Arabidopsis thaliana: one gene and its partners. The protein of the gene in region 1 interacts with the protein of each later gene in a pairwise test. Each region holds a gene or a part of one and is shown in the gene's direction. Other genes may lie near its edges.

What was found. The genes of interacting proteins can lie anywhere in the genome.
Region 2: the proteins of NAC089 (region 1) and AT3G22570 interact in a two-hybrid assay, tested with the Arabidopsis thaliana proteins (one large-scale study listed by BioGRID).
Region 3: the proteins of NAC089 (region 1) and AT5G61340 interact in a two-hybrid assay, tested with the Arabidopsis thaliana proteins (one large-scale study listed by BioGRID).

Annotation. Positions count from the first base shown.
Region 1 is NC_003076.8:7,372,995-7,381,272, reverse strand, and holds NAC089 (NAC domain containing protein 89), read left to right. Parts: upstream 1-3,496; 5' UTR 3,497-3,774; coding exon 3,775-3,976; exon of another isoform or gene 3,977-4,156; coding exon 4,157-4,410; intron 4,411-4,576; coding exon 4,577-4,807; intron 4,808-4,893; coding exon 4,894-5,229; 3' UTR 5,230-5,434; downstream 5,435-8,278. Other genes in the region: NIT4 (nitrilase 4), read right to left, coding at 1-25, 125-418, 1,449-1,628, 1,710-1,872; AT5G22280 (peptidyl-prolyl cis-trans isomerase G), read left to right, coding at 6,161-6,316, 6,747-7,001. UniProt on the Arabidopsis thaliana protein: Transcription factor involved in plant cell division.
Region 2 is NC_003074.8:7,997,101-8,002,791, reverse strand, and holds AT3G22570 (Bifunctional inhibitor/lipid-transfer protein/seed storage 2S albumin superfamily protein), read left to right. Parts: upstream 1-1,553; 5' UTR 1,554-1,630; coding exon 1,631-1,952; intron 1,953-2,050; exon of another isoform or gene 2,051-2,689; coding exon of another isoform or gene 2,690-2,702; coding exon 2,703-2,716; coding exon of another isoform or gene 2,717-2,875; exon of another isoform or gene 2,876-2,900; coding exon of another isoform or gene 2,901-2,908; 3' UTR 2,909-3,085; downstream 3,086-5,691. Other genes in the region: AT3G22580 (Bifunctional inhibitor/lipid-transfer protein/seed storage 2S albumin superfamily protein), read left to right, coding at 1-30; AT3G22565 (uncharacterized protein), read right to left, coding at 2,690-2,875; AT3G22560 (Acyl-CoA N-acyltransferases (NAT) superfamily protein), read left to right, coding at 3,350-3,877. UniProt on the Arabidopsis thaliana protein: Probable lipid transfer protein.
Region 3 is NC_003076.8:24,659,073-24,664,745, reverse strand, and holds AT5G61340 (uncharacterized protein), read left to right. Parts: upstream 1-1,528; 5' UTR 1,529-1,602; coding exon 1,603-2,682; 3' UTR 2,683-3,067; downstream 3,068-5,673. Other genes in the region: AT5G61330 (rRNA processing protein-like protein), read left to right, coding at 4,411-4,426, 4,626-4,723, 4,808-5,112, 5,460-5,532, 5,665-5,673.

The DNA of each region.
Region 1 (8,278 bases):
GTAGGTGCACAATAAATCTCAATGCCTACAAAAAAAAACACAACAGTGTAACACACCAACATGATCAAATCACAAGCAACATACTGATACATTGTCCCTTTGTAGAAGCTAAAGAGAGACTAACCTTTGGCATACATTGCGGTTCTCAAAGAAGGCATCCTATTTTCCCAACAAATAGCAGCACCGATTTTCCCAATAGGAGTATCGAACACAGGGATGGTTGATCCATCTCCAAATCCCCAAATGCAACGTTCAAGAGCTGTAGGCATGAGTTTGCGGTGCTTACCTAAGAACAGACCTTGTGAATCGAAGAAAAGAACGGTGCAGTATAGCGTGTAGCCTTCCCTCTCTATCACACCCATAACCAAGTATACTTTGTACTTCTTGGCCATTAACGCTAATCGTTCCACTTCAGGGCCTAACACAAGATGGCACAGATGAATAAGTAGAATGTAATTTACAGTTTACACACACTTGGTGATTCAAGAAACACTATAACTAGTAGAGACTGAAACACTCAATTGTTAGTAGATGATCACACTAACAATTGTTGGGTTTATTGGCTATGAGATTGACCCATGTGAAAGCCCAAGTCACTGGGCCTTTCATAAGTTAAGCCCATGTGACTGTTGCTGAAATGATCTTATCTACAACTTCTTACTCTTGGAGCATCTGTGCCTCCCTTGAATGAAGCTTGTTGTGGAGTCACGGGTGGAGCAACCAAGCTACGTCTCTTGATGAACTGGTCAGATCTTGGTGATGCTACAAGCTCTCATGTAAGAAGGAAGAGGCATCTCCCTCAAAGCAACAAGAACCACCTTGATACCAAAAAAAAACAAGAACCACCTTGGTTGTTTGTTGCAGTTTCTGTTACAGTGTCGTAGTAGAACAGAAGCTGTTTTAAAGACGGCTTTGGTGAGAATTTATTAGATCTTAAGTGTGATAAGCTAGGAGATACGTGTGGTAGCTGAAAAGGAGGTTATGAGACACGTGAATAAGCAAAGAGAAGCATAGAAGTCATGTGAAAAGGAGTTAAAACAGAGCAAGAAGAAACAGATTTTGTAACCTCTTGTCAAGAGAATTGATGAAGTTATGCATGTATTGATGTGTTTTTAACAAACGTATGGTTTTATGGAGGAGAGTTAGGAGATCTCTTGAAAAAATCTCCATTGTTAGGGTAGTTCTTGAGTTTGTATCTTGGAATGAGAAGTGATAAAAGATAAGAGTTCATAGCTTCAAACTTATCAAATGGTGCAGTGAACGTGAATCGAACACGCGACCTAAGTGAATATAAAAGAGGGTTGCCTAGTTGTTCTATGTTGGTAGCTAGTTAGAGAACAATGGATTTATGTGGTAATAAGTGCGTGCCCTGGTATTCATGCTAAGATCCAAAATCGAAAGAAAAAAAGTGAGAACATAATCGGAGATATGGTGGAGGACTTTATTACCAGGAACATCAATGGCAGAAGCATGGTACTTGCGAAAGTCATCTCGTCCTTTAGCGGTACGAGAACCAATAGCCAATTCAAAGGTAGAGCCACGTGGATATCCACCGATGAAAGCCTCCGGGAACACCACTAGCTGAGATCCATTCTCCGCTGCCTCAGAAAGCAGTCTCTCTGCCTTATCTGACAAAATTTCGTGGATAAGGCATCGAAAGCGATCTCACCAACCATAGTGAATCAAAAATCGAGAAAACAGGAACGAACCTAGCGTGGCGGGAGTATCGTAGAAGACTGTAGAGGCTTGGACGACTGTAGCTCGTACGATGGAGGAGGAATCGCCGGCGGACATGTCAATCTCAGGGAAGATTTGATGGCCGTTGGTCTGTGGAGCCGCCGTCATGTGAGACGTTTCTTGTTGCATGGACATGAGAGAATCAGAGAAAGAGAGAGATTCCTTTTTTTTTTGTCAAAGAAGAAAGATTCCAATTGTGTTGTATCTTGTTTACTTGGTTGGTGTGTGTTTAACTTTGATATTATCGTGTATTTTATAAACTCTCTCTTTTTGTGTGTCGATTCTTTTTTAGTGAAGGGAAAAATGGGTTTAAAAAATCCTCATTTTCTCTAAAAACATTTACAATAACCATCACCTATATTGGTATTTATATGCATGCATATTGTACGATGGAGGAAGAATCGCAAGTGTATACGTCAACCACGGGAAAGATTTGATCGATGTTGACCGGAGGAGCCGCCGTGACTAGAGACATTTATTGGTGACTGGTCAGTTTGTCACCAATAAGATATATAGAGGAAATGAGTGATTCTAGTAGTAGTATCTTCTTGATGGGCTTGGTTGGTAGGTGTTTACTTGTACAACACATGATATATATTTTGATTTTTACTCTCTTTTTAACTGTAGGGGGAAATGCCAAAATGTGTAAAAAAATCCTCATTTTTTTCTAAAATCATCACCTATATTTATAGATTTTTTACAAAATTCAAAAGATAAAATACCCCCTCGATAACAAACCAACCTTAAAAACCAAACAAAGCGTTTGTTTATATATTTTGGTTGTTACTTGTTAGCATTCAATATTAATTATTGTTTACTTTTCGAAGGTATGAGGATTAGAAGATTAGATGTTTATCTCTTTTCTTAGTTTTAGACTTGATCTATATCCTTGGATGGTGTTATAAAAGGTATCGAACTCTTTCACGTATCATTAGCTTTTGACTAAAATATTGTTGAAGAGTTCTATTTTTTAGTTCAAAGGCCTATGAAAGGAGGATTTTTAATTCTAAAGAGTTTTGGTATGAAAAAACTCTTAAATCATATTATCGTTATCGATCATTGTTGATCTTGACAAAATATAAATTTGTTGCTGAAATAATTTGGAGAATTTCTTGTTATGATTGTTTATAGTTTCCGTTCATCATCAACTTTAAACTTTTAATTGTACGAGAAACTTTCAAAGTAATTTTTGGATTCACATCACCAAAAAAATTAACAGAACAGAGTTAACCACGTTAATATCACTTTAGTTTTTTTACAAATAATGATTTGAGTATAATTTGATCGTAATTTGTAACCCCATTTCATCATGGAAACAACAATAAAGTTCACTCATACATTTCGTTTTCCCTGTCGTACCTTGACACAGAAACATAGTCCACAGATTTTACTACTAATACTATTTCGAAGACGTACGAGGTTTTACGGAGGGAGATTTGCGAAAATTCACCTTTCTTGTTTAGCTTTTTTGAACATGAGTTTTTGATTAAACTTAACTATATGGAAAGTCTTGTGGAGCAGTTGAAATCCATCAAGAAGGATAAGTTTTCTTGTAATGATAAGTGGTTAACCCTTAAGCTTCAAATCAACAAAAACTTTGAGGTAACGCTTGTTGATTACGAGATCCTGAACAAGATATTTTGGGATATATAATTGTGAGCGATTGATCGATAGTAAGATTTCGGATATATATTGGGACTTTATCTGAAAACACTAAACAATAAGTCGTAAATTGGGAGTACGTAAAAACATTAAGGGTCTAAATGAAATAAAACCTATAATATAACTAGGTTTAGTGACGTGGCATGCACACGTAGATTAAGCAATGCCTTGGCAACACGTATGCAAAAACCCATATGTGTGCACCTGTGAAGTGTTCCAATAACAATTCAAAAGCTCCCTGAGCAAGTGAGAAGAGACCACACTGAGAAGAAAAATCCTTCAGGTTATCGAAAATTCCCGGATTTTACTCTTTGGGCGGTGGCCGATTTCTTACGCGCTCTTTTTGTGGCGACTGTTGTATACGCGCGAGCCTTCATGGACACGAAGGCGGTTGGAGTTTCTAAGGATACGGCGGCGTCGATGGAAGCGTCGACGGTGTTTCCTGGGTTTAAATTCTCGCCGACGGATGTGGAGTTGATTTCGTATTACCTGAAGCGGAAGATGGATGGCTTGGAGAGGTCCGTTGAGGTTATACCGGACCTTGAGATTTACAATTTCGAGCCTTGGGATTTACCCGGTTTGTCTTCGAATTCGAACCAATTGATTCTTTTGTGTCTTTCTTCTACTTGGAATTTGATTTTGTTGTTCTTCAGGCTTCAGGAGAGATCTCTATTTTGGGTGCCTAAGATATAAAGTTTCTATTTTTTGGCTCTTGGATTGGAATTGACAATTTTTTTTGTGTGTTTGTTCTTTGCAGATAAGTCGATTGTGAAATCTGATAGCGAGTGGTTCTTCTTCTGTGCGCGTGGGAAAAAGTATCCACATGGTTCACAGAACAGGAGAGCAACGAAGATGGGATACTGGAAAGCAACTGGGAAAGAGCGTGATGTGAAGTCTGGTTCTGAGGTCATTGGAACAAAGAGGACGCTTGTTTTCCATATTGGTCGTGCACCAAAAGGCGAAAGAACTGACTGGATTATGCACGAGTACTGCGTGAAAGGAGTATCTCTGGTAAAACTGTTCTCGAGAGTTTGTTTTTTCTTATAGATTAATTGTTAACCATTACATAAGAGGTGGTGACTTTGGCTACTTTTTGAGTCTCTAAGAGGAATACAGTAAAATTTTAGGAGTTTTGTCTTTGGCTTGAGTTGATTGATTATGTTTATGTAAATTCTAGGATGATGCTATGGTTGTTTGCCGGGTTAGGAGGAACAAAGAATACAATAGTGGTACAAGTCAGAAGGCACCAAAGCCAAATTCATCAGCCGAGAAGCATGCGAAAGTCCAAAATGGCGCTACGAGTTCAGGGAGCCCGTCTGATTGGGACAACTTGGTTGATTTTTACCTAGCAGGTGAATCAGGGGAGAAACTACTCGCTGAGATGGCAGAGTCATCAGAAAATCTACAGGTTTTGTCACCTGGCTTCTAATTGTTGTATGATGGTTCTTGATTGTTGTCGTTCTTCTTAATGAATGTTATGTGTGTGTGGTTTAGGTGGATAATGACGAGGATTTCTTTGCGGATATCCTAAGAGACGAAATCATCAATCTCGATGAAGCGGTGATGACAGGGAACACACCAAACGAAGTGCCAACACTAGAATCAGCATCAATGGAGATAAGGGTACTTCCTTTACCAAACATGATAGACAAACAAATGTCATCACTGTTAGAGGAAAGACCATCACAGAAGAAGAAAGGAAAAGACGCCACGGAATCATTGTCGAGCTGCTTCGTGGGTTTATACTCGATCAAATCAGTGAACAAGGCACGATGGGATGTTATTATAGGTGTAGTGGCTCTGATAGCAATGTTGTTTTATCTAGAATAAGAGGCTTATGGAAGTAGCGAAAAACAGTGTCCTAGCTATGTTTGTATCATCTTTTCTCGGACATTGACAAGGATTATATGATGTTTTTGTGTAAACGGTTTATGTTTTACACTTCTACTTCAAATCTGTGCAACCAAATCAAAACCTGAAATATCAAGCACAGAAGAACTAGTGGATATAGTTTTTACACTTCAAGGCTTATTAAGTGGTGTGTTTAATGAGAATCAGAGAATGGATAAATGATGGGGGCAAATTAGTAAATGACTATTTTCCAAATCCGTACTGTTTATCTTTCTCGTCCAGATGGTTGTTGCACTAAGATTTGTAGAATTTTCTCGCCGCCATTAAACCTCTGCTTTTGTTTCTTTCTCTCTTCTTCTATACGAGAACCCATTTTGGAGAAGTCAAGTTTCCTCAATACTCCGTCAAGCCGATTTTATTGATCTCGATCAGTTTCGTCAATTTTTCCGGTTTAAGAAACCCTAGAAAAGCTGATGATTCGATAATGAAGTTTGATTTCACTGTGATAAATCGATCTGTAAGTTGGAGATACTTAATCGTCTTCGTTATATCTTCTACGATGCTTCAATTTTGCTTTGTTGTGCTGAGGAAATTCAGTTTTTCTGTAGTATGTGTTATTTGCTTATCCTTAGTAAGTTAGTTACATATGAAGGAGATTCGTATTGAAACCCTAGGTCATTGATTTGATGGAGTTGCTTTTTATAGTATCAGCTTACACTGTTTACATTGTTCTACTTTTGGTTTTTAATTAGAAAATTTGAAGTGAGTAGGTGAATTTTAAGTCGCATCGATCTCATTTTCGATATATGTCTCAATTCGATTAGGCGTGGTCTTTGGATGTGTGTTTAGGATGGTATGAAATGGATTGATTGTGAAATTTGGAACAGGTTTTGTAAGAGCTGAATAGAAAATGTCGAGGCCGATCATGCTAGTCTTTCTTCTGGTTATACTTATAGTCACTTCTCAGTTTGAATGGAGGCAACCACTTCTTGAGCTTGATGCAGCTCCTAGCTTGTCTCAGAAACATCAGCAAATTGCAAAGAGGGAAGAAGCTGTCAAGGAGAAGGTACTTACTTCATTCTTAAACTCTTTTTCATTGAAGTTTTGTGTGTTCAGTTGTATGAGAAAGACCTGAGAATTCGTTTTGGGATTGTGACTTATAGATTAGTACAACTGTAGCAGAGATATGCATAATTGGATAGTGTCAGTTAACTTAGAATGCTCTGATGCTTAAGATTCCTATATCTGCTTCACTTGCCTTTTGAGTCAATCTATAACTATGCCTTAGTAGTTGTGTTGTTGACTTTATCCTCGACATTCTAGTCTCATGAGTCTCTGGACAAACATTCTTTGTAACTGGCTTTCATATCTCTATCTTCTTCTTTTTGAGAATGTCTATGGAATCCATCAATGACTGATCTGAGTTTTTAATGTTGCATAGAAATATTCGGGGTTTTTTTGCCTTCTGTTGTGTTTTCCCTGATTGCATCAAATAGATGAGGTTAGTGGAGAAACATAGACTTATTGGTCTTGCAACCTTAAAGTTCCATTGGATGTATGACGAACCTCATAACTTCAGCATAATTTTGAACCTGAAAATAGAAGAAGACCTGTCAATTCTTAGTTTGTTAATCGTTACAGATCATCTTGTCACAAGAGAGACATATCCAGAGGCTAAACGACCTTGTACGAAGTCTTCAAATGCAGTTACAGCGATGCAAAGGAGAGAACGAGACACGAAACGCCACTGAAACCTCCCATAATAACAAACAGTTCATTGAGCTCGAGAGGAAACACATCGTGGAAGACTAGTATTTCCTCCGGTTACATCAATTCTAATAAATAACCCAAATGGTACGTAAAAACTGTTGTAATTTACTTTTGTTGTGTTAAAAACCTTGCTGATGTTTTGATTAGAAGGATGATTTACTTTATTCACGTGTAAGATTGAGATATTTAAGTACTTGTAATAAAAGTTGAGAATTAGGGTACTTGTAATATCTTTAGTTATGGTTGATTGATTCTATCATTGTCGATGTCTTGGTATAGTCAAACTTTGGTTGTGTGTAGTTAGATTTTTACTTTGACTGATGAGGCTAACGAAAGTCTAAGATGACAAAAGCAATCTTATGTCATATTCTTTCCATGATTTCATCACTAGTCAGAGCCTAAATAAATCTCTTATTAGACACCAACCACAACTCCATATTTGTTCTAAGTCAAACAAAACCAAATCTCCCATGAATTTTCACATACTCATTTATTATTCTTCCATTTTACTATTTGGCATTCTAAAAGTCAATAATATTAACAGTCAAAAGCCATTCATCTGTTTTTGGTCAATCTTTCTATCATTTGTTGGCCGTGCGTCTAGCCGTCAAGCTATCCAAATTCATATTCACCAATACTTATCAATTTTTCAACAATAATTTTCGGTTTATTAAAAAAAGTATCATCATATACGACTTTAGAAATCTAATAATATCAACTACCCATTAAACTACAATTTGTTTTTGTCAACACCGATTTTAACTACATTACAACCTTCCAAGTTTGAAACAAATGCATTGTCTACTTCTTCCCTCTCAATTTGAATTTCGATTTTCATACTAATAATATGATGATTTATGAAAATGGACAAAAATATCTCCTTTGTAATTATCCAAATACTATTTGGTAATAAATGCAATTTCAAAGCACAAGTCATATACTCAATCTTTTGCATACTATTATTTTCAAATTACATTTATTGCTTACAAACACCTCATATTATAATTATTTTCTACAAGAATATTTATTTTGAAAGCTAGATGAAACTAATCCTACTAATTCATTAATATACATTCAATGAGACCCTCTCTCATCTTGCGTGTATCTTCTCCTCTATCTATATATATATAACAGCCACTAACATGCAGACATCAAACTATCTCTCTTTAAATCTCAAGAACAAGAACTAAACTACTACTAGTCTTCACCAAGGTAAAGCTACTTTGGAACCCGAGAACCAAGTTAATTTGTTCTCATC
Region 2 (5,691 bases), on another chromosome or scaffold:
TCAATTTATGAAGAAACACCAATCCTATAGTATGTAGTCTTTATGTATATAGTGAATTTATGTTACAGGAGATGGATTGAAAAATATAATAGTAGGGTGATGGAGTTGCATGAGATGGAGAACTGGTTAGGAGGACATCAAACCTAGCGTGTGTCACAAACCGAAAGTATTTGAACTGATGTAATCGTTGTTTGTGTTTATTGTGTTGAACGAGTCTTTGTTTCAGTTGTGTCAATAATGTGTGTCTTCATTGGGTTAAGGAGCCAGCTTTTTAACTTTCTCATTCCTGGTTTATAGGAGTTACAACTCCCTCTCTTTGTACATTCTATTCAAGATAGTGAAAAAGCCAAAAAGAGGCAATTTTAATTGCCCAAAGAAAAGTTACTCTCTATTTTGTGCGATGTAATTTATGCTGTATGATTTCTTACTCCCTAAAGTGATATTTCTTTGTACCAACGGAGATCTTTTTACCGTTTACAATAATCATTAACTTCCATAACACAATTTGAGAAGGTAGTAATCGAAATGTTTTGGGTTCAAACTCAAGAGCCGGAGATAGTACTACAAAACGATATCCAAAAGGAAACAAAGCAAACAATCTATCGTTATGAAACATAAAGACCTAATGTGAGATAAGCTCTTGAAGTTAGATATAAGAAGAATAAAAACTTTCAAGGAATGTATGCAATGAATGTTTTTAATGATTTTATCCCCTTGTTTTCATTATCTTGATGCATTAACACACCATTTAGACTTCTTCAAGATAGCCTTTGCATTGAGTTCATCCATTTTAGGTGTTGGAGTGAGAACCATAAAGAAGAGAGGTTTTAGAGGATATTTGGTTCTTAAAAGACCAAACAATGACGGAATATGAAGGAAAGAACAAGAGAGATGATATGATATTATCCATAATCAATATGAAGTACTTGAAAGATCACGTCATATGAAGACTTTCCTTTGTGATATTGTTTTCGAGCCCTTCATCAAAGTCATAGGAAATTGAATTGGCTGTTCCAACGGTGGTGATTTCGGATCAAACGGAATAGCGGATCAAAAGTAATAGCCAAAATTAAAAATAGGCTCTCGGACATGACAAAACAATCAGGCATAAACGAACATGAGGAGATGATAATACGTTTTTTTATTCATCAGCAGCATTCATTTTGTCAAACAAAAAAATAAATAATACAAAACACGTTATATTATACAATAATCATCTCATGTTCCTTAATCAAACCAAATAACATACAAAATAACATTGCGAAACATATTGTATTGTTATATAGAATGATGCTGATGAATATAAAAAATGTATTACAAGACGTGGTTAAGATGATGTCCACTTTGTAGCCAAAACCAAACAAAATTGACATTAAAAATTATAGTAATACGAACTGTATTGTATTTAAATTATTATTTAATAATGGCTACAAGTTGGCTGTTGGTTAAGTCAAGGAAAAATAACAGCTAATTGTTCATATTATAAAACAAAATTGAACACAAAACACACAGTATTATATTATATATAGTACCAATTAGCTAGCAAGACTCTGAAAAACCAAACGAATCTGAAAAGATCATAACAAAACTCAAAAGATTCTTCTCCAACCACGTATTTCATCAAGGAAACATGAAGATAGGAGTGGTTTTAGTGTTGCTTACAGTTTTCGTGGTTGTGATGTCTTCTACAAGCGTCTCTGCTCAGTCGGACGAGGACGAGTGCTTGAAAGAGACAGGGCAGATGCAGTTGAATTGTTTCCCCTACCTAACTGATAATCGTATCCATACTCCTAGTTTCGCGTGTTGTTCTGAGGTGTATACAGTAGGCAAGACATATGTTGACTGCTTTTGTCAATTCATCAACAATGGAGGCCCTAGCTTCGGTATCGTTGTTTCCCAAAAACTTCTTGATCTGCCAGAGCTTTGTGGCGTTTATGGTGCCTGTGGCAACGGTAAGAATTTCAAAAACACTAGTTTATGAATAAACACCAATCTTCACTCTTCGCGAATTTATGTTATGTCCATGAAATTGATTGAAAAATCTGTGTACCAGTTGGTGATGGCGTTGTCCGTAACCGAAAGTATTTGAATTGATAGAGTCTTTGTTTCAGTTGAGTCAATAACGAAAGACATGGTCTTCCTTTCCTTGTGTTAAATTAAGGAGCCAGCTTTGCCACTTTCCCATTCCTGGTTTGTAGGAGTTACAACTCCATCTCTTTGTACATTCTATTTAAGATTATTAAAAAGCCACAAAAAGGCAATCTTAATTGTCTAAAGAAAAGCCACAAATCCAAATCTGAGACATGGGAAGGAGATGGTAAACTAAATGTTTCGGGTTCAAACTCAAGAGCCATAGATATAGTATGCACAAAACAGATATCCAAAAGGAAACAAATAACTTATGTCAACTTTATAAAATCCTATATTATAAAAAGAATTTTATCATTTTATGGGACAAAGCAATAATCTATCGTTATGAAACATTGAGACCTAATGTGAGATAAGCTCTTGACGTTAGTAGATATAAGAAGCACAAAATTTCAACGAATGCATGCAAAATGAAAAGTAATGTGTTGTGTTTTTAATGATTTACCTCCTTGTTTTCATTTAACTTGATGCATTAACATACCATTTAGACTTGTTTCGGCTACCTGACTAAATATAGCTCATACCTTTGTTGACTGTTTTGTCAATTCCTCAAGAGTGGAGGTTCTAATCTCGGTATCATCAATGTTAACCAAACACAAGTTCTTCGTCTGCCAGTAATTTGTTTTGGTACGGTGACACTTTTCTTGTCATTCAGTGTAATAACGGTATGAAGAAAGATCATCCTAGTACCGTAGTACGTAGTCTTTATGTTATCTGATGCATCCATAATATATCGTGAATTTATGTTACAGGAAATTGATTGAAAAATGTACCAGTAAGGTGATGGAGTTGCAGGAGATGCATAACGGGTTTAGGAGGACATCTAACCGAGCGTGTGTCACAATATATTGTGTTGAACGAGTCTTTGTTTCAGTTGTGTCAATAATGTGGTCTTCATTGTGTTAAGGAGCCAGCTTTCTCACTTTCTCATTCCTGGTATATAGGAGTTACACTCCATCCCTTTCTACATTTGAAAAAGCCTATAAGAGGTAATCAAAATTCAAAAGCGTTACTCTCTGTTATAATTTGGATTTAAGTTCTAAATCTGAGACCCATCATTAACCGATAAGAATAGGCCCAAATCATTAATGGGCCTTTCAATCCTAATAGAATCATCACTTCCAAATATTTACATTTGTTGCATTTTTTGTGTATATTATTAGATTATAGTAAGAGATTTATAAAACTAACAAAATTTTACATGATCATGGAATCACCAAGAATCTTCCTCCGGCCGTTCAATCTCTCCGATGCAGAAGACGTCTTTAAATGGGCCGGTGACGATGACGTCACACGTTACCTCCGTTGGGACTCCGTTAACTCCTTAGAAGAAGCTAAACAACACATCTTAAACAAGGCTATACCACACCCATGGCGCCGTTCCATCTCTCTCCTCCAAGACGGTCATTCGATTGGTTACGTATCCGTCAAGCCAGACTCCGGTGATGGTCGGTGCCGAGCCGACCTCGCATACGCTGTCGCTAAAGAGTTTTGGGGGCGGGGGATAGCCACAGCGGCGGTGAGGATGGCGGTTGAACAAGCTTTGGAGGATTTTCCGGAGGTGGTGAGGCTACAAGCGGTGGTGGAGGTGGAGAACAAAGCGTCCCAAAGGGTTTTGGAGAAAGCTGGATTTCGAAAAGAGGGTTTACTTGAGAAGTATGGTTTTAGCAAAGGAGTCATCAGAGACATGTTTCTCTATAGTTACGTTAAAGATGATTGTTTTGTGTGATAGTTAACGGTAAAAATAATGGAGAAAGTAACTAAATAATATCCGGTTTTTACCGTAATCTGAAATGTTACAATATCAAACGTACGTTAGGTTTGAAGAGATAAAGATGATTACGGCAACAAATGATGGTTGTCTACATGTTCTTGTCATGTCATAATTAAGTTTAAGTCGTGTCGTGTGTCTACGGTGACTCAACCACATATCTTTCTTTCTCTGAATTCTGTCTTGTTCGTGAAAATAATCTCTATAGTAGTAATCTTAACGTCATGAATTGGATAATGATATTGACGAAAATTTATATATGAATGTGAAATGTTAATGGCAAATATATCCATTCTTTTACAAGCTACGGTAATTAGTTTATTTTTTGATTTAAGATACTCCCGTTATTTCAAAAAAAAAAAAAAAAAAAAGAGAGAGAGAAAAAATTCTTCTTTGTCGCATAGATTTCACAAGTTGAAATTGAACGGTCAGATTTTTGAAAAATCAGAACTTGTAAACCACTAAAACAAGAATACTTATGTGTTAGGAATAGATAATAATAGTGGCATGGCGCCAGCAATTACAGAACAGAAAATATTCGGCACTATATAAGTCGGATGAATCATACACTATACATGAAAACAATTAATATTTGGAACATAAAAGTCGGTCCATATATTTAATTATTCAGGAAGTAATGCGAAAAAAAAGTGTGTGAATGAAAGTCTTTGAGAAAGTATCAAGTAGCACGCATGCATCTTGAACAGAAGTCATGCATAGTGTCGTCAAAATCAAATTGATATATGTTTTACAATTCTTGTCCTATCAAATCTTAAATGTGTCAACCTCATATTCAACCACCTCTATGCTTATTTTATTATACAACTTTGATCTTACATATGACATCCTTAAGTATCGACAAGTGATAGTTTCTTGCGAGATTAATATCTGTATTCTTAGTTTGCATAAGTCGTTATAGATTGGTTGCTAAATACCTACGGTTTCTTTTCTTAAAATTATTAGTCAGTATATAAGTAAGATATCGAAACACATATATTTGTAACAAACGCACTTGTTTTTTCTTTAATTCCAACAATTTCAATAAAAAAAACCAAGCAACACAACCTCTTAATCAACGAGTTATTCCAAAACCTAAATTGCAAATTGTATTCATCGTGTGGTCACGCCTATTCCATAACCATTATTACCTCTCTTATTTTGTTTTAGTTCACTTATTATCTTTTTACTTTCTGTGTAAAAGATAGATGATGCGACAGGAAGCAGTGAATGCTGATGTGAGCTTATATGGTCCCTACTTACTACACGTGGAGCCAACTCTTAGTAACTCAGAGGGTTATATTGCGGGACCTTTCTCTGACAGCAACAGAGAGATTAGATTCTGATCTCATGGACGGTCACGATGATATGATGGATTGTGTTCACGAGCCATGACACGACTCATGATGCTTCATCAGTTCTCCACTATGAGTGACTTCACACTATTATAGTTAAATTGATGATTATCAAGTTTGCAAACAAACACTGCTTAAACCTATTCTTGATTTCTTGTCCCCGAACTGTGATTGGTTATTGAATAATTTATTAATTTTGTTCCATTAAGTTGTATAATGGAAAACAGTCACAGCACACACATATATGCAAGTAACAGTTATCAATTCCATAAAGATAATGGAAACTTTTTGCCAAATCCGGAAATGTTTATACTTTAAAAATTATAAATTTTAGTCATGGTTTCAAAAAAGATGATGGAACCACTGAAAACCCTTGTCAAAATAAGATCGCAACTTTAATTAGTAACACAATTTGATGTG
Region 3 (5,673 bases), about 17 Mb from region 1:
ACGTTCAACAGTCATGGTCGACGCCAAAATATCAATTATTATTGATGGACATATACTTTTCTCTAACATTACATAATCTTTGTATAAACTAAAGAAAATAGAATGAATATTCGTAAGAGACCTTCAGTAGATATCACATATAAAAAATGTTTTGAGTCTATGTTCTTGCTTTTACACATATGTACGGTCGAGTTCCTTTTTGTTGGAGTAGCTTAGAATCAAACATTATAGCTCACTTTATAAAATGGTTATAACTCCAATTATTAGTAGACTAATACCTAATTACAAGTAGACTTTATACCTATAACTATTAAGATTATTCCATTTAAGATTTTAGCAAGCTTTTTCTAGATTTATTTCTCCATGGACTATATGTAGATTTATATAAAACAAGAAGATGTGTTACCTGGTAAACGTTAAACCATTCAACTAAAAATAGATATGAAAATAAAATTGCAAATTTCCAGGTGTATTTTCTCGTTGATTTTGTTCGTCTAATGGAAACTCAATAATAATGGTTCACGCTTAAACTATTACCATATGCCATTAATTAAAGTATATTATTGCGAGTGGATATATTTCTATATATAAGAAAATCAGAAATTTCAAACAAGGAAATGGAGAACTCCCTAACCACCAAGTCCAAGTCAATAAGACTGCACACCAAATGCATGCCACAGGTTGGACAAAGTTTGATGATTTCTTCTATCTAATTTCCATTTTCTCTTGATTATTTTAAAATAAATTATTAACTTGGTTAACATATTATTGTATTGGTACAAGAACACAATTGGTAATTAATAAGTATTCAAGTGTTCTAGGATAGAGTTTTTTTTTAAACATTCTTATTTTTCATTAAAGCTAAACTTAGTAGGTTTGGTAAGCATATATATGATCAAGTCGCCTCAAGAAAAGTTAATAGAGTTTGGAATTTTCTCACTCAAAAATCATTTTTGTTGTTTACATTATGATCAAAAGCATAACAAGAGTACCATTTTTACCAATATAAATTTGGTTATTAAAAACTTTACTCTTTTGAGCTCTTATCATTATTCAATTTCTTGAAAGCTAAGCCTCCAGTTTCCTCAAACCTATCATTATTAAGCTTTCAATTGAATACTAATACATGACTCACTCTGTCACAATTTAATATATATATATATACACAAACACACATATATATATATACAATGGAGTGTATAGTAAGCATCCAAAACCAATTAAATCACTAAGCATATCACACAAGTAAAAGACTTTTCTAGAATATATGTATAAAAATTAAATCACGAAAAGGAAATTCATTTATCCTAACAACATTACCTACGAAGCAAATCTATATTATACCCAATAAAACCTAACAAGGAGGTGTTATGTATTATTTTACTCACACGAAAGATTCTATTCCATGCAAAAAACTTTGCTTCACAAAGAAAAAGAAGAGTTTTAATTTGATTAGTTTGTCTAAACAACTCCTCATCTTCAGGCAAAATCGGTTGGCCTATCTCCATTCTCTTCTCTAACACCCAACCCACAATTAAATTTTAGCAAAAAAATATATAAATAATATAAAAATCATTACATATTTTATATACATATATATAGATGACCTGCATTGAGAAAACCCTTTCAAGATTTGGTGGATCATTCAAGAAACACACATATTCAAACTTCTCCAAAGAAAAGAAAATAGCAAAAACTAGAATGAAGAAGACAATGGAGGATCCAAGCAAGATCATGAGAAGGTCAATTCACACTTTCCTCCAAAACTACCACCGTGTCACCACCGCAGCCGCCGTGGCCCTCCCTTTCTCCGCCGGTCTCCTCCTCTCTCAGCCTTTCTTCTCTTCTTCCTCTTCCACCCTTCACATGAGGCTTAACATGCTCTTCCGCGGAGCGGGTTTCTCTTCTTCTCATGACTTCTTCAACATCTTAAGCCTTAAACTCTCACAAACCCTATCTTCCTCTTTATTCACTCTTCCTTTCTCCCTCACATTCCTCCTTTTATCCAAAGCTTACGTCATCAAACTTCTATCAAACAATCACTCTGCAGATTCCTCCTCTGTTTTCTACCTCCGGCTTCTCAAAACTTACGTTTGCAACTTCTTCTTCCTTCTCTCTGCAAACGCCTCTGCTTTTGCTCTGTTTTTCTTAGCATACAATACCCTTGAAGCCTTTGGATTCTCTTCAAGAAACTTCTACACTTTCCTCTCCCTATCCTCAGCAATCATCTACTCAATTATCATCGCAAACGCCTTTGTCATCTCTAATCTAGCCTTGGTTTCATCACCTTCTTCTTCCTCGGGAGGATACACAAACATCCTCAAGGCGTGTCTTCTGATTCGCGGAAGAAATTCAACAGCAATGGCTCTTGCTCTGCCTACCAATCTCGGCTTAGCAGGAGTCGAAGCCTTGTTTCAGTACCGAGTCATGAGATCTTATTACAATGGAGACAGAGATATCATATCCATAGCTCTTGAAGGAACCTTCATAGCTTACTTATACGCTCTCTTCTTGGTTCTTGACACCATAGTCAACTTCCTCTTTTACCAGAGCTGCATCAAAAACGAGGAAGATCAAAATATCGGTAGAGAAGACGAGTATTCAATCAAGATCCAAATCAGCGAAACAGAGAACACAAAGATACACATCAAAGGATCAAAGAACTTGCAAGAAATCTTGTGACTCTCTTGTGTTGGTTGATGTAATTATTACTTATACAAAAAAAGTGAAAAACTTTATGAGATTATTGATTCTTTAAGGATAATCTCAAGTAGCTTTCACTTCAAAGAAGAGCAAAGGTACACACACAGTAAAGAACAATCACAGGATCTGCAAAACTTTTTCTTCTTCCTCTGTTTCTGCTTTTCTTTATTTTAGTCTCTTTTTTTTCCACATTGTAAAGTCAAATATACCAGAAATTTTAATTAATGCAAATCTTGGAATTCACATTTGGTTAATCCTACAGTATAATTTCATTGCCGACAAAATATATTAATTAGCAATGATTTTGATTACTTCCTTAAGTTATGAAGATGTTGACTAGATTCACACTTTAACAAGAGTGAAGAGTCTTTTGTTTTTGAGCAAGGATAAGTTCAAGCAAAATCTTTCATTACAAAGAGAGAAGAAGAAATGTCACAATTATCTTTAAATAGACGGTAGAGGCGAAAGCAATTGAACTTTTTGTATTTTTCGTTGAATGAAAATCCTAATAATACATTGAAATTGTGTTAATGATAAAAGCTCAACTTAAAAAGACAAAAAATGGCTAGTGGGTGGTCTACATCACTAATCTCTCTACTTGAACCTCTTTAACAAAAAGCCCTTTAATACAATAGTTCAGTACTACCTAAAATTTCTTCTAATGGAGAAATTATGAATGAATCTAATTTACTTTTATAGGTTAAAAAGAGTGGAATCCGGAAATGTTGCATCTAAAGAGATCAAGAAACAATTAAGCACAAAAAGATGAATTTTATAACAAGCAAAATTTTGTAGCTTTCCAAACATACAAAACAATGTAATCATTCATGGTCCATATTTAGGAATTAGGATCAAGGGTTTATAATCCCAGGTCCGACCGACCGAATCGTATAATCTGGTCCTATCAAACCAAAATTAAAACATTTAAACCGGATTTTTGGTTGAACCGGCCGGTTCATGGGTTAAGCGAAACCTCTAGGGTTTTAATATTTCCAGAGTTGGTTGAGAGCTTCTTCTTACTTTTACTTTTCCTCTGCTCGTAGACAGCTTTGTGCTTGAGACGATTCCCAGTTTCTGCGATTCCAAGTCGAAGATATAACCTCTCCTATTTGCGTCTCAGCTTCTACAGAGCTTTTAGGTAAGCTCCTCTGCTTGTATGATTCCTTTTAATTTTCAAAATTCACTGCTTTCTCTTGCGTATCTGCTCAAAGTCTCTCCCTTTTTCATTTAATCGTTTCTCTTCCTGAAACATTCGAACTCATAAACTAGTTTGATTCAAAAGTTTTCTTGCTTTAAACTTGTGTTAGCTCTAGAATGTTGTTCTTTGTAATCTGTTTGTGACATTGTGGTGGAGATGATGAATGTTAAAGTAAAAGGTCTGAGCAGGTTATGAGTAAAGTGTGTGGCTTTTGATGTTTAATTTAGTTACGAGGAGTCAATCTTTGAACTTTATAGGAGAGGGCCCTTGTCCATGTCTTGAGCCATGGCATCTGTGGCTCCGCAACCTCTCCAACAATGAACCTGATTTGTGTGTGCAATCTGATGGGTCGATTTTTAAAGGCTTGGGGTTGCTTTCTATCATTGATTGTCAATCTAGAATTCTCCCTATATACATTTGTCTCCTTGTGCTTCCTTATCACCAATTAGCTACCCTCGTGATTCTGCACTGATCAAAGACCCTTTGACTGATCCACGTGAGCTGTTTTTATGAGATTATCTATAGGTCTCTGTTTTTTTTTTTTTTTTTTTTTTTTTTTTTTTTTTTTATGTTTGAAGCTTTTGACAAAGCTTGTTTGATGGTATGGTTACCTCATTGTTGCTCTATATTTGGTCCTTCTTTATTTGTTTCAATATTTTTATTGCTTAATCCACTGTATAATAGTTTCTCCTTCCTCAATTGAGTTAGTTTTTCGTGATTGCAGCATTAAAAGTTGTTAAAATGGCTGGGGGGTCAAAGAGGTCTAAAAGAGCAAGACTTGACAGTGAATCGGAAGACATAAGCGACCAAGAAAACCTTAAGGTATGTTTATGTTGCTTTTGTCTCGTTTAAGTTATTTAGATGGTATAGGTGAATTTATTTGGTTGAGGGTTCTCTATATTATAGGCCGAAAGCGACAATGAAGATGATCAATTACCTGATGGGATAGAGGATGATGAAGTAGATAGCATGGAAGATGATGAGGGAGAGAGTGAGGAAGACGATGAAGGAGATACCGAGGAAGATGATGAAGGAGATAGCGAGGAAGATGATGAAGGAGAGAACAAGGAAGACGAGGATGGAGAAAGCGAGGACTTTGAAGATGGAAATGATAAAGAGAGTGAGAGTGGCGATGAAGGTAATGATGACAATAAAGATGCTCAGATGGAAGAGCTTGAGAAAGAGGTCAAGGAGCTTCGTTCACAAGAGCAGTAAGATTTCATTTGAACTAATCATTTTTAAATACTGTTATTTCTAAGATAGTGAATTCTTGTATGTGTTTCTTTCTAGAAACGGTAGATAGTCGTATTAAAGTTTCAACTGTTTAATCTAGATCAGCAAGGATGTTGGCTAGATTTAGAAGTAGGTTCGAACTCATTATAGCAATTGGATTTATTCGTGATTAGTAGAAAATATATACGTTTAAAAGGAAAAGAACAGACTTTTGCCAAAAGTTTTTGTCAGATACTGTCTTAATTCGGTTGCATCATTTAATTTTAAATGAACGATTGAGAGGCAAAAGAATGTTCTTTGTGTAATATGCGTGTTCCTGGTATAGGGATATATTGAAGAACTTGAAGCGTGATAAGGGTGAAGATGCTGTTAAAGGTCAAGCGGTGAAGAATCAGAAGGTATGACCTTGTTCTGCGGTTTGCGAAGTAGTCTAACTAGAAATCAGTTGCAGTTGTATATTCCTATTTTATGTTAATGAAGTTGATCTAGAGCGAATTTTTGACAATTCTTTCTTTGTGCTCTATGTAAAGGCTCTTTGG